Linked DNA regions of Neurospora crassa OR74A. Each later gene encodes a partner of the first gene's protein in a complex. Links are inferred from orthologs where the notes say so. Each region holds a gene or a part of one and is shown in the gene's direction. Other genes may lie near its edges. The genes, in order: NCU01746, NCU02687, NCU08427, NCU10467 and NCU04548.

The links.
Region 2: NCU01746 (region 1) and NCU02687 share a complex: the UniProt entries of both Saccharomyces cerevisiae proteins name them as parts of the CTF18-RFC complex. The link is inferred for Neurospora crassa OR74A from reciprocal best matches to the Saccharomyces cerevisiae genes CTF8 and RFC2.
Region 3: NCU01746 (region 1) and NCU08427 share a complex: the UniProt entries of both Saccharomyces cerevisiae proteins name them as parts of the CTF18-RFC complex. The link is inferred for Neurospora crassa OR74A from reciprocal best matches to the Saccharomyces cerevisiae genes CTF8 and RFC3.
Region 4: NCU01746 (region 1) and NCU10467 share a complex: the UniProt entries of both Saccharomyces cerevisiae proteins name them as parts of the CTF18-RFC complex. The link is inferred for Neurospora crassa OR74A from reciprocal best matches to the Saccharomyces cerevisiae genes CTF8 and RFC4.
Region 5: the proteins of NCU01746 (region 1) and NCU04548 are in contact, whole or in part, in a cryo-EM structure (PDB 6S2F), measured with the Saccharomyces cerevisiae proteins. The link is inferred for Neurospora crassa OR74A from reciprocal best matches to the Saccharomyces cerevisiae genes CTF8 and POL2. Residues at the interface, in NP_012061.3 of Saccharomyces cerevisiae: Glu40, Lys87, Gln88, Arg128, Leu130, Pro131, Met133; in NP_014137.1 of Saccharomyces cerevisiae: Arg1025, Met1036, Leu1037, Glu1038, Glu1040, Asp1041.

Annotation. Positions count from the first base shown.
Region 1 is NC_026502.1:2,561,532-2,565,420, reverse strand, and holds NCU01746 (hypothetical protein), read left to right. Parts: upstream 1-1,597; 5' UTR 1,598-1,870; coding exon 1,871-2,404; 3' UTR 2,405-2,777; downstream 2,778-3,889. Other genes in the region: NCU01745 (SPX domain-containing protein), read left to right, coding at 1-1,055, 1,121-1,219. UniProt on the Saccharomyces cerevisiae protein: Essential for the fidelity of chromosome transmission. Required for the DNA replication block checkpoint.
Region 2 is NC_026501.1:3,203,043-3,207,329, reverse strand, and holds NCU02687 (activator 1 41 kDa subunit), read left to right. Parts: upstream 1-1,652; 5' UTR 1,653-1,827; coding exon 1,828-1,940; intron 1,941-2,013; coding exon 2,014-2,092; intron 2,093-2,176; coding exon 2,177-3,148; 3' UTR 3,149-3,349; downstream 3,350-4,287. Other genes in the region: NCU02688 (ubiquitin-conjugating enzyme E2Z), read right to left, coding at 16-49, 164-193; NCU02686 (hypothetical protein), read right to left, coding at 3,415-4,287. UniProt on the Saccharomyces cerevisiae protein: Component of ATP-dependent clamp loader (RFC and RFC-like) complexes for DNA clamps, such as the POL30/PCNA homotrimer and the checkpoint clamp DDC1:MEC3:RAD17 complex.
Region 3 is NC_026502.1:4,031,678-4,035,941, forward strand, and holds NCU08427 (activator 1 subunit 3), read left to right. Parts: upstream 1-1,609; 5' UTR 1,610-1,740; coding exon 1,741-1,874; intron 1,875-1,935; coding exon 1,936-2,579; intron 2,580-2,642; coding exon 2,643-3,034; 3' UTR 3,035-3,304; downstream 3,305-4,264. Other genes in the region: NCU10392 (hypothetical protein), read left to right, coding at 1-1,196; NCU08428 (MFS transporter), read right to left, coding at 3,305-3,642, 3,707-4,214. UniProt on the Saccharomyces cerevisiae protein: Component of ATP-dependent clamp loader (RFC and RFC-like) complexes for DNA clamps, such as the POL30/PCNA homotrimer and the checkpoint clamp DDC1:MEC3:RAD17 complex.
Region 4 is NC_026505.1:3,556,022-3,560,317, reverse strand, and holds NCU10467 (replication factor C subunit 4), read left to right. Parts: upstream 1-1,622; 5' UTR 1,623-1,731; coding exon 1,732-1,835; intron 1,836-1,906; coding exon 1,907-2,127; intron 2,128-2,227; coding exon 2,228-2,976; 3' UTR 2,977-3,215; downstream 3,216-4,296. Other genes in the region: arg-4 (arginine biosynthesis argJ), read left to right, coding at 1-605, 661-939, 1,000-1,027; NCU01294 (hydrolase), read right to left, coding at 3,566-4,296. UniProt on the Saccharomyces cerevisiae protein: Component of ATP-dependent clamp loader (RFC and RFC-like) complexes for DNA clamps, such as the POL30/PCNA homotrimer and the checkpoint clamp DDC1:MEC3:RAD17 complex.
Region 5 is NC_026507.1:1,475,304-1,480,506, forward strand, and holds the end of NCU04548 (DNA polymerase epsilon), read left to right. Parts: coding exon 1-4,548; intron 4,549-4,843; coding exon 4,844-4,911; downstream 4,912-5,203. UniProt on the Saccharomyces cerevisiae protein: Catalytic component of the DNA polymerase epsilon complex which participates in chromosomal DNA replication.

The DNA of each region.
Region 1 (3,889 bases):
ACCGTACCGATATCGACGACAGCAACATGACCTATCCCTTCAAAAACATCAACCAGAGCGAGGTGTCGCTGTTTCCCTATGCAGTGTTGGAAATCAAGCTGAAGGAAGACCAGAACCGCAAGCGACCTGTCTGGGTCACGGACCTGATGGCCTCGCATTTGGTCCACCCTTGCCCTCGCTTTTCCAAGTTCATGCAAGGCGTCGCCTCTCTTTTCGAGGACTACGTCAACAGGTTGCCCTTTTGGCTGCCCGATCTGGACACCGATATCCGCAAGGATCCCCAAGTGGCCTTCGAGGAGGAGGAGGTGAAACGAGCCCACCGTGCACAGAACGAGCAAGTAGTCGGCAGTTTCCTCGGAACCAAACTAGGCAACTCGTTCAAGCCGTCACGGAGCTCTCCAGTGGCCAAGTCATACCTCGCCGAGCGGGTGGCGGCCGAGAGCAGCGGCGCCAAAGCGCAAACCCCCGCCTCCGGGGCGACAGACAGGACCCCTACCGCTGTCACTCCGGCCGGTGAACTCAACGAAAGCAGCAGCAGCCAGCAACAGGATGGCGGGCAGCAACAAGGGGGCCGTAGCGAGTACGGCACCATGACCCTCTCCTCCGTCTTCCCCGGCTTCTCTCTCTCCAAGTACTCCAAAGCCATGCGTCTCAAGCGGGCCCAGGGCGAAGGCGGCCGCCGTGGCTCCGTGACCCTGCCGCCCGGCGTCGAGGAGCCTACCGAGTGGCTCAAGAACTCAGGCCCCTTGCAGATCGAGCCCAAGGTCTGGCTAGCCAACGAGCGGACGTTCCTCAAGTGGCAGCACATTTGCGTGCTGCTCGGCGGCTTGGCCATCAGCTTGTACACAGCCGCGGGCAGGGGCACGGTGGCGGAGTGGATTGCGGTTGGGTTCATCATCATTGCGGCGTTTGCCGGTGGCTGGGGGTATTTCTTGTTGCACTCGAGGAGGAAGATGATCATTGAACGGAGCGGCAAGGACTTTGACAACTTCTTTGGCCCATTGGTGATCAGTGTGGCACTGATGGTAGCGCTGATTTTGAACTTTAGCTTTGCGGTAAGTTTTCCAGATGTCTTTTGAGCAGTCAGGGTACAGAGTAATTGCTGACTACATGACTTTAGTATCGCGACTTCTTGGCTAGAGCTCAGGCTAGAGCTGCGATTGAAGCTCTGTTCATCCAAAGCAGCAACTCATCGGCGAGTCACATCGACCTGAGATAGTGGTGTATGTAGAGCTTGGTCGATTGACGTGAGACTAGAAAAGAAACTCATGCTTGATGAACAAAGGGGTAACAAAAGATTGGATACGGAAAACAAACTTGGTTATGACTGCATGATTTGGGGGTCTGGCGTGTGGACGATGGTTGAGTAGAAGAATGTCTCGACGAGGATTATGTTGAAGTAGGCATACATACAGTTTGGCATGATTAGAAGCATCAAGATCAGTATGCAAGGGCAGTTGAATCGGCAACATGTTGACGGCCATGGAAAGGGGACATGTCCCTCTCTCTTTCTCTCTCTTGTGATATGCGCACGGACCATTGTTGCTCTGGAAAATGTAAATGGACTGAAGTTCTGAACTGGACGGCAATTCCATGCAAACAACTTCTCACCAGCGCCTTTGACAAACTCGTAACAATCACCGTGATCATTCCCCCCAGACTCGAGACGGTGGTCATATGAAGGAAAGCTCAACCACTCGACGGCCAGCCTGCTAAGATTTTCACTTGCGTCGCTTTAACGAGCCCTCGTCATCAGATCGACCAGCTGAAGGAAAATCACAATCAGGCGGGAATCACAATCAACAATCAACGACATCACCCACCATCATCAACAACAAGAACTCACATCACACAATCACTGCCAGCAGATATGTCATCGCAAATTTCTCTCCACCCTCGTCCTCTCCAACCATCGCCCTCCTCAAGCTCATCAACACGTGCAACCAACCCACTCCCCACCCTGATCCAAACCCCCACGGGCCTCGCCCTCCTCGAACTCCAAGGAACTCTCAACATACGCGACTTTGACCCATCCTCTACAGAACAAATCACTCCAATCCCTGTAGGGAGGATCGATTTCCCCGATTACCAGCCCAACTCCCTCACCTTTGACGCCAACGACAAGAAGTGGATGAAGAGGGTGTATATGTACATTGGCGAGCATCAGCGGTTGCATGGGGAGGTGAAGGGGCTGGGGAAGGCGGTGGGGGTTGTGAGGAGGAGGGTACGGCAGCGGGAGGGGGTGAACGGGGAGGAGGAGGAGGAGGAGGAGGAGGAGGAGGAAGAACAGAAAGAGGAGTTGGAGGTGTTGGATATTATAAGGTACAAGATTGTTTTTGGGACGAGGCCGGAGCCGGTTACTAGGGGGGAGCAGTTCATTGGACGGGGTTCTGAACAGACCTAGGGTTACTAAGGACGGGAGGGTGTGGAGGAGGGGGTTGGTGGTGGCGAAAGTTAGGAATAGCTCCTCAGGAAAGGGAATAAAAAAAGGTTCAGGCCATGGAACAACCTCACAGTCACCACGGGTAGCTTTGTTATCTACTTTTATGAAAGGAGGGTGGTGTGGTACACAGGTGCTGAAGTTGAAGATGACAGAGGGAATTTGACGAGTTATAGTGGATATACCTATAACCCCCCCCTCACACTCCGTTACATGTGGTCTTTAATATAGCTCGGTTTTTCTGGTGCTACGTTTATCTTTGAAGAGATGGAAGATAAAAAGGTGTCATATGACCTTTGTCTCCTTCCCATCCCAAATTTTTTCATTTTCTATCTTACTTTTTTTAGCAGCTCAATACAAGTAGGTAGGCGTTGTGGTTCCTGACTAATGTTTGAAGGGTCCTCCATGAAAAAAGCACGAGAGGTCACGAGGTCCCCTGGATCCTGGGTCTGGATCCAGTCTGTGATACCATGATAGGTAGGACGAGAGCGGTGAATGATATGTGTGAAGAATGAGGTTGCAGTTCGAGGCCGGTTCGTCGCGGAAAAAGAATGTGAAGGCGTCTACCGGTGTAAGGTGGTGTGAGGCACCGGTGTAGCTCAGCTTGCTCCTTCCCAAGTCCGACATAGCTTCATCTCTGTCATCATTGTATACACTACCTAGAGGTACCTAGTCCAGGTCTCGCTAGTGTATTCTAGTAGGTAGACTTGGAGGCTCCGATCAGATGATGCATCCTATCGACTTCCACTTGCCCGCCCCAGTCTCCGATGACCTGAAGCCTTGAACGTAGTGTAGACTCGCTTCAAACCGTTGTTCATTCACGTTTCACATGTCGAACGACAAAAAGACCAGCTGGGGTGTCAACATGAGAGGATCAACAAAGCAAGCTCGAGGCAAGCGAGGCAAGTCAAGATGGTGCCCCGCCAACCGGTGTCGTTGGAGCTGTCAAATTTGTCCACTGAAAGGTGGGGGATGCTGCAGCAGACGCCACAGCGGGTTCTGACTGGCTGCTAGGGGCGCGGGCGCTTTCAGTGGGAATGCACAATTCCCTTGCTTCCAAGTTGCCGCGAGAGTTCCCTTGATGGGATCACCACTGCAACAATACCTGTAGGTAGTGATGATCCATTGCCCGACGCTCGTATGGCCCGCATTTTCGTTCCCGCTTCAGTTCCAGTTAGGGCCGAGTCCCGGGCCACGCAACCGCCAGAGACCTATAGGGAAGTGGAAGCTACCTACCTAGGTATGGATCCCTGATGGTCCCCTTTTTCCAACTCACTCTCATCTCCACTTCGTCAATGGCGACGGCTTGTCCACACTTGCTGCATACCTACCTAGGTAGCCTGGCACCAAGGTTCTAGACTGGCTCTGCAATACTTAGCTGGTATACATGCCACACAGGAACCTGTCTTCTGTCCTTTCTCTACTCTTCAACTCATCAACTGTTTGCCG
Region 2 (4,287 bases), on another chromosome or scaffold:
GATGCACAGGCTTACACAGGTCAGAGTCCTTCTGAAGGTCGCTCAGCTCCTATCGTTAACAACAATCAACTTAGCATATGCCAGCCAGTATTGCGGCTCTTGCATAGTGGACATGATTCCTGGTGCCGGGACTGGGAATAATGCGATATGTTGACAAACGAACCTTGGTGATGCGAAATACAGATTGGTCCATGGTTTCTGACTTGGAGCTCACCAAGTCTTGGTGGAAGATGGAGGGTGGAATGGACCACTCGAAATCGCGAACGTCGACCCCACGGGCAAAGTAGTAGTAAACAGTAGGCAGTTTGGCGGGGACCGTGATTGGGCGACGTGAAGAAAAACACTGGCGGACAAGTCGTGCGAAGTGGTCGATGAAGGAATTACTCTGGAGATTAAATGGCCGGGTAGCTGCCGACAAGGTAGTAAGGCCAAGTCTTCGTTATGCGGATGTTTTGTTGGAGGAATGATGAGTGATGGCTTAAGTTGTATTTTCTGTTTCCCATTCAGGTAGCAGTCGGTGGTTGAGGTGAGAAGTAGCGAGCGAGACGACAACACCAAGCTGAGTTCAGGCAAGAAGAGGAAGTGGTAAGGTTGAGTGCGGGGCAGGGCAGAGTTCAAACGAAAGGAACTGAGTGAATAAATCCAAGGCAAGCAAGCGATTGGTGCACTCAGTAATGCACAACGTACTATGTAAACTTGCAAGGTAGAGGTAGGTACTGTTGTGTGTAATTACAACCTTTCCAGCGTTGGTCAAACTTGTATTTGCTTTTTTGTTTTTTGCTTCTCAAAGCAATCAATGACAGTCTATCTCTACTTCGAGGTGGCAACCAAAGAACGAAGGATGAAAGCGTCTCTGACTACTTGTACGTGCCGTGTATATTATACGCTGCCGAAGGTATCCTCGTGCGTGCGTAATCAGCATCGATCAATATCAACGAAAGCAACATGGAGGGTTCCGTTTCCATTCATTCTTTTATTCCACATACCAGTTCAGGTACTTTTTAGTGTGAAGCAGTGTCAATCAGTCACATCCCGACAACTTGGGGCACCTGGTGGTGGGCTGCTACATACCATTTTCAAGGGTAGCCGCCCCGCATTTGCAAGTGCAAGATGCAGGTGGGTTGCAGCAACGAAATGCCAGAAGTGGAATACCGTACGAGACTGGAGCTTACAGTGCGATGCCTTACCACACGACAGGGCATAAACATGGAAGACGGAAGCGGGCAGGGTGATTGATATACCTGTTTGAGCTTTCATATGTCCCAGCGTTGACGACATCGGAGGTCCATGATTCGAACCCCGCATCCATTGTCACTACGTTGTAAAATCAACATGTGTGGTAAAACGGAAATGTATGATTTTCGGGAGAATACAGAAGCAAGTTGGAAAGAGGGAGCCCTGGATCCCCGGCTGCCCGGCTCCCCGGTCCCGTCTCCGTGTCCAGGGCAGTCCGCCTTGTTGTTGGACGTGGAGAAGCTCCAGGCACCGACGGGACAAAACCCAACATTCGGAGCTCTACCCAGGTAGCGGACGGCCCCGGGTGGGAGGGGGCTAGGAGCTAGGGTCTTGCGAGATCCACTTTAATTGAAGCGGCTCCACAAAAGGAAACGCGCCAGACGCGGTCTCTCTTCCTGTGATCGCGTAAAGTGCTGCTTGGAGTTCTACTTTACTATCACCATTCTATTACGAGCTCCCCTCAACAATAGATTGTTGCGACACCTTGATTGACGACAGCGAGACGCTCACCCAGTACCCACGTTCTCTCTTTTCTTGACATTCAGGAAAACGTACCCTTCGCAACTTTGCTGGCCAAGATCTATTCCTATCATGGCAAGCTTTTTCGACATTAAGGCCAGGAAGGCGGCCGCTGCAAATGGCACTCCAAACCCGGAAAAACAGACAAAGGAAACTCCCAGGGCGCAACCATGGGTAGAGAAATAGTATGTCATGCAAGGGTGGTCAAGTTCAATGCCGGCAGTTCAACCAGCTAACCTCTGACGACTTCCTCGACAGCCGTCCAAAGACCCTCAGTGATGTCACAGCCCAAGATCACACCATTACCGTCCTCCAAAGAACATTACAGGCTTCCAACGTTTGTCAAACCTGCTTATTTCCCCTTCGTGTCTCTCTCAAGTCAAATTTGGACAGCCACTGACCTGTGTCGTCAACCCTCCAGCTCCCACACATGCTCTTCTACGGCCCTCCAGGAACGGGCAAGACCTCGACCATCCTTGCTCTCGCCAAGGAGCTCTACGGCCCCGAACTCATCAAGTCCCGCGTCCTAGAGCTCAACGCCTCCGATGAGCGTGGTATCTCCATCGTCCGCGAAAAGGTCAAAGACTTTGCTCGCATGCAGCTTACCAATCCCTCCGCGGCTTACAAGGCGCGCTACCCATGTCCGCCCTTCAAGCTTATCATCCTCGACGAGGCCGACAGCATGACGCAAGACGCCCAGAGCGCACTGCGCCGCACTATGGAGACGTATTCGAAGATCACCCGCTTCTGTCTTATATGTAACTACGTCACTCGCATTATCGATCCGTTGGCGAGTCGTTGCAGCAAGTTTCGGTTCAAGAGCCTCGACCAGGGGAACGCCAAGAAGAGGCTGGAGGAGATTGCTCAGCTCGAGGGTGTCGGGCTAGAAGAGGGAGCTGTCGATGCGCTGATCAAGTGCAGCGAGGGCGATTTGAGAAAGGCGATTACGTATTTGCAGAGTGCGGCAAGGCTAGTTGGTGCCGTGGCAGCCACAGCTAAAGACGGGGAGCAAAAAGAAACCGAAGGCGACGACGAGATGGAAGTGGACGCCAAATTGGTTACGGTCAAGGTCGTGGAGGATATCGCTGGTGTTATCCCGGACGATACCATTCAGAGGTTACTCGAAGCGATGCGGCCCCGCGCTGGGGTGGATACGTACCCTGCGGTTGCCAAGGTGGTCGAGGAAATGGTGGCGGATGGTTGGAGCGCTGGGCAGACCATGACGCAGCTCTACCAGGCGGTGGTTTTCGACGAGATGATCCCGGATGTGCAGAAGAACAAGATTGTTATGGTGTTCTCGGAGGTGGATAAGAGGCTGGTGGACGGCGCAGACGAACATCTGTCCGTACTCGACCTGGCGCTACGGATATCGGGTATCATGGCTGGGAGGTAACGGCCAAAGCTTAAAGAGTCTGAAAGGGTACGACAGAAGCAGATGGTTCAAAGATAGGCGACATATCACTGGGTTCGGAGTTTCGGTTTGGGCAACAGAAAATGGCAGGTCATTTACATCGCACTACAAGGTCATATTTTGGTGTTTCTAGTCCTAGACTTCTTTCTTGACAAATGCTTGACAATGGTCTTTTATCCCTGGCACCTCGCCCACCAGTTGTGTTCCGAGGTGTCTCCCGTCGCAACACACGATAGTTATGGCTGCCTCTACCCAGACTTCTCTAGTCCTACATGCACATCCACCATATTCCACATGCTCAAGCTCCCTCCCTCACGGTGACCAATTGTCTCCTTCCCCTTCCTGCCTCCCTCATCGTATCTCGTCCCAAGTCCCGATCCACCAGTTGCATTTGTGATTTTCAGCGATTTCTGCCCTTCGACAAGCCATATGTCAGATTCCTCGCCCACCTCATCATCATCGCCATCATTATCATCATCATTACCCTCCTCCTCTCCGCAAGCCGCTTTAACCGGCTGCTGTCGTTGCTGCTGCTGCTGCTGCTGCAACCCACGTCCCAACAACCGATCAGCCTCGCCTAGCATGCGAATTGCTCCCTCCAGCGCTATCTGCCCTTTCTCAATTTTCTCCACTACCACCTCAAAAGTTGCGATCTTGGCCGAGTCGGCAGCTGATACCCACGGGTTGACTAGACGCGATGACATCATGGCGTTGGGGTCATCGTCCTGTTTCTTCTTCTGCACTACTACTGCCGTGGCGTGGGCGGGTATCAACTGGCTTTCTTCCACCAGGTGATCCAGCACCTGGGCGTTTTCCCTCAGCTGCTTGGTGAGGAGGGTGGTTACGTGGGCCTTGTGAGCCATGAGGCCTTTATGTTCGTGAGAGAGGGTGAGGAGGCGGGTGAGGGTTGGGGTGAGAAGGTGGTCTATTATGGGAGCGGGTGTAGACGCCTCTGCTGCTGCCGCTGCTGCTACTGCTTGTGTTGAAGATCGCTCAGGAGATGCCGCTGAAGGAGAGGAGGAAAAGGCAGTGATGGCGGGGAAATCAAGGGACGGTAGGGAGCGAAGTTGGGTGGTGACCAGCTCTAGGAGAGCTTTTCGCATGGAGAGATACTCGGCGTA
Region 3 (4,264 bases), about 1.5 Mb from region 1:
TGGCTGCCAGTGGAGAGGATGCGAACGCTGGTCTGCCTGGGGTAGAGGCTGGGACGCGGGAAGCCCGACAGAAAGAAGTCAAGATCTCAGAAGACCTTGGTATCGTGAATCGCTCTGTTGCCTGGCCGGATGCGCTGCTCAAAACAACATGGGAAGAAAGAGGATGGACCTACCAGGAGCGTATTCTGTCCCTGCGGTATATGTACTTTGTCGATGACACGGTACACTTCCAGTGTCAACAAGCCACTTGGAGCGAAGACTTTGCAGCCGAGTGTCGGGACCTGGACTTGACCGCCGCTGACCAAGTGGTAAACTTCAGTATTGTCCCCAGTGAAGTTCCTCCCACGGTTGAGTTGCGGCCTAATTTGCAGTTCCAGCTCAAGCGATATCCCGAGCTGGTAGGGCAATACACATGTCGCAATATGACATTCATAACCGACCGCGTGAATGGAATCCAAGGTATCTTGAACGTGATCAAAGATCATTTCTTTTCTCAGAATGTCGAGTTTGTGCACGGGATGCCCACGGGGGAGCTCCTGCATCCAGGGCTTCTTTGGCGACCACGACGGGAGCCGAAGAGAATCCATATGGATGAGAAGACAGAAAGACCCCTGTGGCCAAGTTGGGCATGGGCCGGGTGGACTATACCAGTCTACTACGACTCGGGTGCTGACTTTTCGGCCAACAGCACTGGTCGATATCAAGCAGAAATCAGCCTTGGCCCGGACCCCTACTTTTTACACCTGAAGGCTCGCGTCGCTCGGTTCAGACTCATGATTGAGGACCGAGGCAATGAGGATGCGGTCCCTCCACTACCTCGGGTCCGGCCAACACGGTTGACGCGGTATGCCATCACACATGCGACACATCCTGAGGGAGGTGATCACGAGTGGATTGGATCCATATGGTTGTCGTGGTCCCACCGAAGAAAGTTCGTTGAACAACGGTTGAGTCTTATTTCGAAGGGTACACACGAGTTCATTCTTCTTTCAGACGCAGACAAGTTCGAGCAAGAGGAACTGGTGCAAGCGGCAACAGCCGAGAAGAGAGCCGTGGTCAACGTCATGATGATCGAACGAAAGGATGATCCAAGGACGGATGGTCGGGTTCGCATTGAGCGTGCGGGTGTGGGCCGAATGTACAGAGATACCTGGGATCGAGTTGAAGATAAGTGGGAGAGGTTTGAGTTGGGATGAGACGGAGTGATGAGGCTGGTAGCCAAAGGAGTCACTTGGTCGGGCATCCTCAATATTGGCGTCCCGACCCAGAACTGGAGTGGGAACGTTGATGTGATTGGTGGTTCAATTTCATTGGAAAGAGAGCAGTAAACTTAGTTCACTAAGAGAAGAGGATGTCCACATGTGAAGAGATTCCATCCTAGAGAACAAGGAGAGTGAAGTGAGGGTGAGCCTTTGAGGTTGTAAAGTTGAAGTTTTCAAACAGAGACCATGGATGAATGAGTGGAAGAACAGTTGAGCTTCATTAAACTGTGGCTGGGGTACCAATACTCCACTAACCGTGTGTGGCTCAGCGCCCAAAACCAATTAACCAGCCACACGAGGGGCCTGTTGCCCGACGCGTCTGTCCTTCCTCTCGACGCGTTTTCCCAGCTTCACTTTCCCGGCCTCACCAAGTAAAAAACACCACCCAACCATAAAGTTCACGTCGGCGCAAAACCTCCAGAGTAGACTTCAGATCACATCAGCCTCGACATCAGCGACCCAGCCCAATTCTACCACCATGTCGGACTTTGAAGACGAAATGGACATTGATGTCCCAGTGTCCAAGGACGTCATGTTCGCTGCCACCAACACGGCCAAGGGCAAGCGAAGCGCTGCCAACCTGCCTGTTGAAGCAGAAGACAGTCTCCCATGGTAGATATTGCCCCCCATATGTCTTCATATGCCTATCAAATATCTAACCAGCCTGTGACAGGGTCGAGAAGTACCGCCCCGTATCCCTCTCCGATGTGTCTGGCCAACAAGACATTCTCGCAACCATCAACAAGTTTGTCGACACGAACCGACTCCCCCATCTCCTATTCTACGGTCCCCCCGGTACCGGAAAAACATCGACCGTTCTCGCCCTGGCCCGACAAATCTATGGCGCCGCCAACATGCGCCAGATGGTGCTCGAGTTGAACGCTTCCGATGACCGTGGTATCGACGTTGTGCGCGAGCAAATCAAGACCTTTGCCTCCACCAAGCAGATCTTCTCCCTCGGCTCCTCCTCTTCGCGCTCGGGGCTGGCTGGTTTCAAGCTTATTATTCTCGACGAGGCCGATGCTATGACGTCCACAGCGCAGATGGCCCTCCGTCGCATCATGGAAAAGTACACGGCCAACACTCGCTTCTGCATCATTGCCAACTACTCCCACAAGCTCAGCCCAGCCCTCCTGTCGAGATGCACACGGTTCCGTTTCAGCCCTCTAAAAGAAAAAGATATTCGTGTCTTGGTGGACAAGGTCATTGACGAGGAAAACGTCAAGATTCTGCCAGATGCTACCGATGCGCTGGTGCGGTTGAGCAAGGGTGATATGCGTCGGGCACTAAACGTGCTCCAGGCTTGCCACGCGTCAAGTAAGTGGTGGTGTCCTCGTCTCGCCTTCTGTTGCGGGCCTCAAGCTAACCCAGGTCAACCAGGCACACCACTCCAACCAAAGAACGCCCCCAAGATCGCCGAAAAGGACATTGTACGGGAAACCATCACCATTCGAACCATCTACGACTGCGTTGCCGCCCCACCACCCGACGCCATCAAAAAGATTCTCAGCACACTTTTGAGCACGAGCGACGTCACAACCTGTCTGTCGACTATCAACACCCTCAAGGTTGCACAAGGTTTGGCCCTTGCCGACATTATCACCGCTCTGTCGGAAGAGATCGTCAAGCTGGAAGTCAAGCCGCAGGTCATGATCACATGGCTTGATGAACTTGCCAAGATTGAGCATCGGGTAGCGAGCGGAGCCGGAGAGGTGATCCAGACTGGTGCGGTAGTGGGTGCGATACGGAATGGTGTAGAACTGATGGGATAGGGTTGTTGTTGTTGAGACTCAAAAGCAAAAAGCTACTCGGTGTTGTTTTGTCTGCATCTATGGTTCGGAGTTTAAGCATCTGGCGTTTGGGCAATCGATCAAATTTTACCTTCTTCGACTGAAGTTACCAACTCCTCATTTCCACCTTTTATATTATGCCCCTTTCTTCCTACGGCAGGGGGATATCACGACGGAGAGCTACAATACGGCAAGAAATATAGATGGATAAGTAATCACTATTCATCGCGAGACTAGCTAATGATATCCAGCTTAATAGATGTACCTGAATCCCGCTGCTCTCCTATCACCCGACGCCGCAACAGCCGCAGTCTCTGGGTTCTCAGCCTCTTCCGCCTCGGCCCTCTCCAGCTTCTTGTTCTCCCATTTGTGCAGGTAGCGCAAGAACAACGCCAACAATCCCACAAAAAGGCAGATTACAGAATTTGCACTACCTCCAGGTATGTACTGTGGCGCCGCCGAAGCCGGGTACATGTATGACCCGTAAATACTCGCTGTGTTTCCAAACATGTTGGCAATAGCCACAGCAGCCGAGCGCTTGACCATGGGACGAGGGAACGAGTTGGCAACCCACGACAGGATGATTTGGTCTGTGGGTCTGTTAGTCCTCACCTTCACCAGGAACTACGATAAAGCAACGAAAAAACCACTCACAAGAAGAAACTGCTCCCATGGGCATCAAGAACATGGCAAAGAACCGTGCTCCCACCTTGGTCGTGCCCGTCGCCACCGCGTTTCCCACCGCAGCCAGCAGCATCAAGAAGAAGATATGCAAACTGCGATCGCCCGTCTTGGAACTCGTCCACGTCACACAGACGGAGATCAAAAAGGTCGCGAACCACACGGGAGCCGTCAACCACAGCGTCTCGATCGTGCCGTAGCCGAGAGTGCCCACGATGCTGGGGAAGAAGTACTGGAACGTCTGGCTGAGCAGGGACAAGTGCTGCAGCAGCACAAAGAGATACAGCCGGTAATCCCTGAGCGCGAGCTTCAGCCCGTCCCAAACCGAGCGACTGTTTTGGTCGTCCGACTCGTTGATATCAGCCAACAGGCGCCACGAGGCATACGCCCGCTCTTCTTCGCTCAACCAGCGCGTGGTGTTGGGATAATCGGGCAAGACAAACGCAGCGGCGACGGCGACGGCGACAGTGATTGTTCCTTCCTGTTTTCGTCGTCTCAGTCAGTCCTCACCCATCCCTCACCATCCTGTAG
Region 4 (4,296 bases), on another chromosome or scaffold:
CTGCCCATCGAAAAGATCACCAGCAATATCCCCCGGGCTCACAAGGCCATGGGCTCTACCCACGATCACTGGCTCACGGCTGCCAAGGCTATCTGCACCACCGACACTTTCCCCAAGCTCATCTCCCGGTCCTTCAAGCTTCCCTCCTCTCCTTCAGTCGAGTACCGCATCGCCGGCATGACCAAGGGAGCTGGTATGATTCATCCCAACATGGCTACCCTCCTTGGTATCATCGCCACCGATGCTCCCGTTTCCTCCACCGTACTACCCGCCGTTCTCAAGCACGCCGTCGACCGTTCGTTCAACAGCATCACGATCGATGGCGACACTTCCACCAACGACACCGTTGCCCTGCTTGCCAATGGTGCTGCTGGCGGAAAGGAAGTCGTTGCCAACACTCCCGACTACGATGCCTTCCAGACTGTCCTGACCGATTTCTCTACCGACCTTGCCAAGCTGATCGTCCGTGATGGCGAGGGTGCCACCAAGTTTGTTACTATCCGCGTTGTCGAAGCTGCTAGCGAGGAGGCCGCTAGGAAAATTGCCAGCACCATTGCCCGTTCTCCCCTGGTGAAGACTGCTCTCTACGGCAAGGATGCCAACTGGTAAGTTGCGGAAAATTATCCCATGCGTTTCGGCAGCTACTGACGTTGTCATTAGGGGCCGTATCCTCTGCGCTACTGGTTACTCCCTTGTTTCTGAGCCCGGCCTTCCCGTCAACGATGTTTCTGAGGTTGTCCCTGAAAAGACCAATGTTTCTTTCATCCCCACTGACGGCACTGCTGAGCTGAAGTTGCTCGTCAACGGCGAACCCGAGCAGGTTGATGAGGCTCGTGCTGCTGAGATCCTCGAGCTTGAGGACCTTGAGATCCTTGTCAGACTCGGAACTGGTGACAAGCAGGCTACCTACTGGACTTGCGACTACAGCCACGAGTACATGTAAGTTGATCCGCCCTCATTCGAGTTTGGGTGACGACTGCTGACATAAGATCTGAATAGTACCATTAATGGAGACTACCGCACGTAAGAAATCACTGATAAGGCGTTACTGGTACTTGGGGAGGATACCCGGAGGTAGACAGGATAGAAAAAGCTCATTTATGCCATACTCTGTGCCCTCCCCTTCTTTATTTCGTACTCTTCCATGATATGCACACGTCGCCCGCCACCCCGACCACACATTTCGGATCTAACTACGCTCCGTAATACACTTTGAGGGTGGTTTGCGCAACTTAAGCATGGAGGTAGCGAATCCTGTAATGGGAAAGCACGCACATTTGTCGAGTTACTCGAAGGGATGTGCTGCCAAAGGCCTCTGGATAGATGTTTGTGGCAACGTCAGACTAAGCTCTTCTCAACGCTGGCTTGAACAGAAGCTTAGTCTAATAAGAGTTTCAAAACCTCCAAGTCCGAAGGAGCCATCACGATTTTTTTTGGATTTTTTTTTTCTTTGGTTTTTTTTATCCCATCAAGACAAACGAACAAGGTCGGACACTGAGAGTTTGCTAGAAGCACTCCTAGGGTTAGGGTATGACGATCTCGGCCAGACCCATGCAAAACCACTTAAAATCGATAAACGCGACGCGTCGCGCCGCTCCACTGACCTTTTCCTCCAGACAGCTCAGAAATCGTAAACCAACAAACAACACATCGAGGATCGCAATACTTAGAAATCTGGGGGTTTGAAACAGGCCATCCGCACAAGAAAACTTCGATTATTGTCCACCCAGAATGCCATCAGCCAAAGCAGAAGAGAGGGGCGAGTCCTCAACCTCCATCTCCAAGGCTGCAACCTCGGTCTCCGCAAGCTCTTCCCCGACCTACGAGCTACCATGGTGAGTCTAATCAGGATTCAATGAACTCTCGATCTCCATAGGGCATCAGGCTGACCAGCAGTTACGAACAGGGTAGAAAAGTACAGACCAGTTTTCCTTGACGATGTGGTCGGCAACACAGAAACGATCGAGCGCCTCAAGATTATCGCAAAGGAGGGCAACATGCCCCATTTTATTATTTCAGGCATGCCTGGTATCGGCAAGACGACGAGTGTTTTGTGTCTGGCAAGGCAATTACTAGGTGATGCGTACAAGGAGGCGGTACTGGAGTTGAATGCCAGTGACGAGCGAGGTTAGAAAAGGACAAGAGCATCCAGCTCTGTGGCTATGAGCTACGCCAAACAACACAAAAACCCCCCCATACTGACATACCAACCCAAAAAAACAAACAGGCATTGAAGTAGTCCGCCAGCGCATTAAAGGCTTCGCCCAGAAGAAAGTCACCCTCCCCCCAGGTCGGCACAAGATCGTAATCCTCGACGAAGCCGACAGCATGACCTCGGGCGCCCAACAAGCGCTTCGCCGCACAATGGAAATCTACTCCAACACCACGCGCTTTGCCTTCGCCTGCAACCAATCCAACAAGATCATCGAACCTCTGCAATCCCGCTGCGCAATCCTGCGCTTCGCCAAGCTCACCGACGCGCAAGTCGTCAAACGCCTGCTGCAAATCATCGAAGCCGAAAAAGTCGAGTACAGCGACGACGGCCTGGCCGCGCTGGTCTTCAGCGCCGAGGGAGACATGCGGCAGGCGATTAATAACCTGCAATCTACACACGCCGGCTTCGGCTTCGTGAGCGGGGATAATGTCTTTAAAGTTGTGGATAGCCCGCACCCGATCAAGGTGCAGGCGATGCTCAAGGCCTGCTACGAGGGTAATGTTGATGCGGCTCTGGACGGGCTGCGGGAGCTGTGGGACCTGGGGTATTCCAGTCATGATATTATCAGCACCATGTTCAAGGTCACAAAGACGATTCCGACGCTGAGCGAGCACGCTAAGCTCGAGTTTATCAAGGAGATTGGGTTTACGCATATGAAGATTTTGGAGGGCGTCCAGACACTGTTGCAGTTGAGCGGGTGCGTGGCGAGGTTATGTAAGTTGAACATGGATCCGAAGAAGTTTGCGGTACCGAAGAAGTGAATAAGGGGGGGCTTCGCGAAGAAAAGAAAAACAAAATTGCGAAGGGGGTGATCCTGGGGCAGGAATAATGAGGTTCATAAAAGATAATACCCGAGCGAAAGCTATGAATTGAATTGTTTACTCGGCGTTGGTTTTGATGTTTAGTCAACTGGCATAGCATACTGCACTACAGAGAAAGGAGTATAGATGGTTAGCATGTAGCATTTGCGGTGTAGCCGGCAGCGGAGCATGAAGTGTAGAGGATTCCATTGAGTGGATAATATCCGGATGCGTCGTTCCTCGTGAGATGTGCAATTTACCCAGAAAAAGGTAGTAGGTATATGGAACATGGCATGTGAACTTTTGGTGCCGTCATTGAATCTTTTACTTTCCAATTTATATAGCCAACCCGGTTGCCCGGTACAGTGTGTAAATATTTTCCAGACCCGTCCAAACCCTCAAAAATCTCCATTCAAGAAGAGTAACAGAAGAAGTCGTTCATCGACACAATTTCAACATGTCAATCTCATTCACAACACATCCGAAAAAAGAAAAGGAGATTATCGCAATCTGTAAGTTCTTCGAGATGCCCAACACTAATATTTTTCTTTCACACAGAAACAGGCGACAACAAATCCAGAGGATAATACCTCCCGTTGACCCTAGCCCCACCGTTGCGTCCCCTCTCGGCAGCAGGCTCCCGGCGATGAGGGTCAACAGAGTGTGTCCTCCTAGACGGCTGCTGCTGGGTAGATATCTTTCGACCTCTACTATCTCTCCCTACCGTCATTCCTCCAACCGGTATTACCGGTCCTCGCCCGTAAAACGCCTCGGGTTCATCGTCATGATCATTAATACCAACAGCCTGTGGCATTCTTTTATGTGGTTGCTGGACATGGCTATTGCTACCATAGGATGTAGCGGGCAGCACATGATGCTGGTGATAATGATGCGGCGTTGTCGGGCTGGGGGTGCTCGGAGTTGACGGAACTGTGCGTTGCTCACTGCCCCTTCTCGTGTAAGAAGCCTGCCTGCTTCTGCTCGATGAGCGGGAACTCGAGGCATAAGAAACAGGGGTATATTGGGGCGTTTGCGGGACTGGGGGTGGAGGATAATTGAACGATGGTGGGATCTTGGGGTTTGAGGCTGATGTGCTCCTGAGTCTAGAAGGCATTCGTTCAACTGTGGGACGTTGTCGAGGAGCTACTTGAGGTCGTGGCTCGTCCCTCAGTCTCATGTGGACTGCTTGGCCGGCACGCTGCTGCTGCTGGTTGTTCATGATTTCTGCTTCGGAAAATGTAGTCTTGAAAATGCTGGGACTTGCGGCGATGGGAATCGTGT
Region 5 (5,203 bases), on another chromosome or scaffold:
TGCGGTCATTCCAAGACCTGAGCGCAGACGAACAAGCCACTCTCATCCGAAAGAGACTGCAGCTCTACTCACAAAAGGTGTACCACAAGATCCACGATTCCACCACGATTGTCAGAGAAGCGATCATTTGCCAGCGCGAGAACCCCTTCTACATCAACACAGTCCGTGACTTCCGTGACCGACGATACGACTACAAGGGCAAGGCGAAGGTGTGGAAGGGCAAGACGGATTCGCTCAAGAGCTCGGGCGCATCCGCGTCCGAAATCGATAATGCCAAAAAGATGATTATCTTGTTCGATTCCCTGCAGTTGGCCCACAAGGTCATTCTCAACAGTTTCTACGGATACGTCATGAGAAAGGGATCTAGATGGTACTCGATGGAAATGGCCGGTGTCACCTGTTTGACGGGCGCAACCATTATCCAGTTGGCGAGACAGCTCATTGAGCGACTGGGTCGTCCACTCGAGCTAGACACTGATGGTATCTGGTGCATGTTGCCGGCGACATTCCCAGAGAACTTTGTGTTCAAACTCAAAAATGGCAAGAAAATGACCATCTCGTACCCATGTGTCATGTTGAACCATCTGGTCCATGACAAGTTCACCAACCACCAGTACCAGACTCTGGTCGATCCAAAGACCTTCAAATACGAGACGCACAGCGACAACTCCATCTTCTTCGAAGTCGACGGGCCGTACAAGGCCATGATCCTACCCACCTCCAAAGAAGAAGACAAGAACTTGAAGAAGAGATATGCCGTCTTCAATGACGATGGCAGTCTTGCGGAGCTCAAGGGCTTCGAAGTGAAGCGAAGAGGCGAGTTGAAGCTCATCAAGATTTTCCAGCAGCAGATCTTCAAGTTTTTCCTGGAGGGTACCACCCTGGCGGAATGCTATAATGCTGTCGCCAAGGTCGCTAACCGCTGGCTTGATGTACTGCATAGCAAGGGTGCAACGCTTGCGGATGAAGAACTTATGGAACTGATTTCTGAGAATCGCAGCATGACCAAGACGTTGGAGGAGTACGGAAGCCAAAAGTCAACATCCATCACCACAGCCAAGCGCCTTGCCGACTTTTTGGGCGAGCAAATGGTCAAAGACAAGGGTTTGAACTGCAAGTTTATCATTTGCGCCCGACCCAAGAATGCCCCGGTCACCGAACGTGCCGTGCCGGTTGCCATCTTCTCTGCCGAAGAAGAAACGAAGAGGATGTATCTCAAGAAATGGCTCAAAGAGGAGCCTGCTGATACCGACCCTCGAGCACTCCTTGACTGGGATTACTATCTCGAACGTCTTGGGTCCGTCATCCAGAAGCTCATCACCATCCCAGCCGCTCTGCAAAAAGTTCGCAACCCGGTACCGCGCGTGCCGCATCCGGACTGGCTGCAGCGGAGGATCAACATCAAAGACGATAAGATGAAGCAAAAGAAGCTTACGGACTTGTTTGGGCCTACCACCAAAGGCCCTCTGCAAGATATCACCCACCTTGCGAACGGCACCCAGCTTGGAGATATGGAGGACTTTGGGAACTTGCTGAAGCCCAAGACTGTCAGTGATGCTATTTCCGCCACGCAAAAAACGGTGACGGCTCAGAAACGCAAGGATCCGGAACCAGCAGCAGCCGAGAACCTGGACCCGTTTGCGGCGCTTCCCAAGAAGATGCCGTCGCCTAGCGAGGATTACGCGGCTTTCTTGGAGTACCAGAAGCAAAAGTGGAAGCTCCAGAAGCAGGCAAGGGCTCGTAGGCGACACTTGTTTGGCGAAAGGCGTGGCAACGCGCAGAGCAACATCCAGCAGACGTTCCGCAGTCAGGCTGAGATGACATTCCGAAACACTTGGCAGTTGCTGCAGCTGAGGGCATCAGACAGTCCAGGCATTGTCGTTGCCCATGTGCTGATCGATGCCAAGATCCACACTCTCAAGATTAACGTGCCCCGGCAAGTATTCTTGAACTTGAAGAGTAGGGAACTGCCCGACATTGAAGTTGAAGGCTGCCATGTTGAACAGGTCAACCATACATTGCCTAATGGCCACTCTTCTGTGCATCTCTTCAAGCTTACGGTGCCGGAGGACATCTACTTTGCGGAAGCAGAAAAGTTCTCTCTGTTATTCAACCATCCCAGTGTGGAAGGCGTGTATGAGAAACAGCTACCGCTCAACATGCGCGCCCTTCTTCAGCTGGGAAATCTTTGCACTATCGACGAAAGCCAACCTGGTGTACTTGGAAAGGGTCTTGACCAAGGATTCGACCTGTCCGGGTTGAAGAGACCACTCAAGCCGAGAGAGTACTTGGGCGATGCCCGTATGGCCTACATCTATCTCTCCCACATTAGCGCTGGTGAGCGCCAGATCTTTGGTCTTTTCTCCACCACCAGTGACCAAGCCCACGTCATCATCCAGCAGAGGACCAAGGATGGAGGGCAAGACCTGCCAAACATCAACAAGCTCTATGCCGACATGTTGGCAAGGAGGAATCAGGAGGCCGCTGGAGCGGAGTGGCAAGAGTGTTTCCCGTACCAGGAAAAGCTGAATATCAAGATCACCCAAGTTACCACCCGCCGGAAAGCTTTCCTTGAGGTTGGCGACATTGTCAAGAAACTGAGAAAGGAAGAGTCCGGACCGACCATGGTGGTCATCCAATCCTCACAGCGCAATCTATTGGTTCATGAGATTCCCATCTTGGGGGAATTCCCTGTGATGCCATTGCGATATGATCAAGGGGACAGCTCACTGCCCCCACTAGGCTGGCAAAGTGTGGTGGCCCGTCGGTTGGTCAATCACTACCTCAGCCTGGGTTCCTGGATCACCCATATGACGGCTCTTGCTCGGTACGGCGACGTACCGCTATGCAACCTGGAGCGAGACGATCCCCGTTTCCTGATCGATATCGCATATGCTCGCCGGCTCATGGCCAACAATGTCGTGCTCTGGTGGTCACCGAGTCCGCGCCCCGACCACGCTGGTTATGAGAAGGACGATGTGGTTGGCCCACTCGATCAGGTTCAGATGCCGTCCGTCAACAATCCCGGCACTTATGCTTCGGTGTGTATAGACCTTGAGGTGCGGAACTTGGCTATCAACACCATTCTCACATCTTCGCTCATCAATGAGCTGGAAGGTGCGGATAACATATCTTTCAATCCCGCCGCCGATGCAACCGGTAGTGGAGACGGCGAAGAATTTCTTTATTCGGAGAACGCTTTTGCCAATGCTGGCGTGCAGGTGCTCCGTGAGATGGTCAAATCATGGTGGGCGGAAGCTTGCAAGGGGTCCACGATGGCCGACGTGATGGTTCAGCACTTGGTCCGTTGGGTCGAATCGCCAGCCTCGTGCCTGTACGATCGTGCTCTGCATTACTATGTCCAGATGATGAGCCGCAAGGCGCTCCTCCAGCTCATGGCCGATTTCCGTCGCGTAGGATCGCAGGTCATCTTTGCCAGCTCCAACAGACTTCTCCTCCAGACCACCAAGTCCGAGGTTGGAAATGCGTATGCATATACCCAGTACATTCTCAAGAGCATCAAGGGCAAACCACTCTTTCACTTTATCGACCTCGAAATCAAGGAGTACTGGGACTACCTGGTATGGTATGACGAGTTCAACTACGGCGGCAAGGCGACACAAGAGGTGCTCGAGCGGGACGAACAGGACCTGCAGATGATTATGCACTGGCAAATGGCAACCTTTCTCCCTGTCCGTCTGCAGCCCATCTTCCGCGACTGGGTCGTCGAGTTTATCCAGCTGATGCACAGCATCAAGCGACCCTCCTTTGGCAGCGACCCAACAGCCACGCCACGTCTCACCCAACTGCCCGTCAACATGCGCAATGGCAATCTCGGCGAGGACGGCGCCGTCGGGCAAATCATCCTGGGCAAAGCGTTCGAGAAGCCTCTCAAGAAGGAAATCGCCAACCTCATCAACACGCAAAGGCGCGAGCTCCTGCACCCGGAGCTGGCAGGCGATTACACATTTCCCCAACTACCGGGATCTCACCTGTCTCACCTGTCTATGTCCAATGCCAAGTCGAGTAATACCAAGAACGCGGCAGGAAAGAAAGTAGCAGCGTCGGCCAATCCGGTGCTTGAGCTGGTCAAGGCCCTGATGCAGGTTTTATCTTTGGACAAGAACATCACGCTCGAAGCGCGGCTGCTGCGCAAGGAACTCCTCGCCATGTTCGACGTACGCGAGTTCAGCAAGGACGGCGCGTTCCAAAACCCATCGGAAAGTCTGAAACTGGCCCAGTTCAGCTGCGAAAACTGTACCATGGCTAGGGACATTGATCTCTGTCGAGACGAGGACTTTATGAGTTTGGCGGCCGTTTCTGACGTGTCAGCAGCAGGCGGAGCGGCCGGCGGCGAGTTGGAAGGAGCTGCTCCAGGACAAGAAAAGGGAAGGTGGAAATGCCCTTACTGCGAAATGGACTACGACAGGAACGAGATTGAGGAGAGGCTGGTGGCGGAGGTGGAGGCCATGGTGGTGGAGTGGACGACGCAGGACCTCAAGTGCGGCAAGTGCGGGGCGCTGAGGGTGAATGAGTTCATGGAGCATTGTACGTGCAGTGGAGAATGGAGGGAGTTGGTCAAGAGGGAGGAGGTGATGAGACGGCTGAAGGTGTATAGGAATGTGGCGAGATATTATGGGTTGAGGATGTTGGGGGATGTGGTGGAAGGGGTTGTTGGGGGGTTGTGATGTGCTTTCCTGGGTGTTAATCTACCGTAGAGGCGTTCGAGGTCCATGAGGGTTACCCTGTCCGTATGTATGTTTACCTTTGGCATTGCAATGCAGGTGCTTGTTTTGTTTTATCTCAACCTCGTTTGGCTAACACGTGATAACGGCGCTGATAGACGAGCTGCTGTGCTTCATGATCGATGAGTGGACTGGTGTGGCGCCGGCCGAGGGTGTAAATGTGTAAACGTCAGATAGGCGTCAACTCGAAAAAGCCCGAGACGTCTCGGACGGCGCCGACGTACCTAACACGGTGGATGAAAAGCTGCATTTCCATAGGATATCTGCACTCCTTCTTATCTCTGAACATCAACACCACATTATCTGAGTCCCTTACCAGGTACAGTTATATCATCACTCCATTTTCTTTTCTTTTATTTATATAATTTTTTTTATTTTTTAATTTTTATTTTTATTATTTTTTTTTTCCCTTGAGCCTATCAGTCGCGGTGCCAGTCGTGGATACAGGGCGCTTTAGC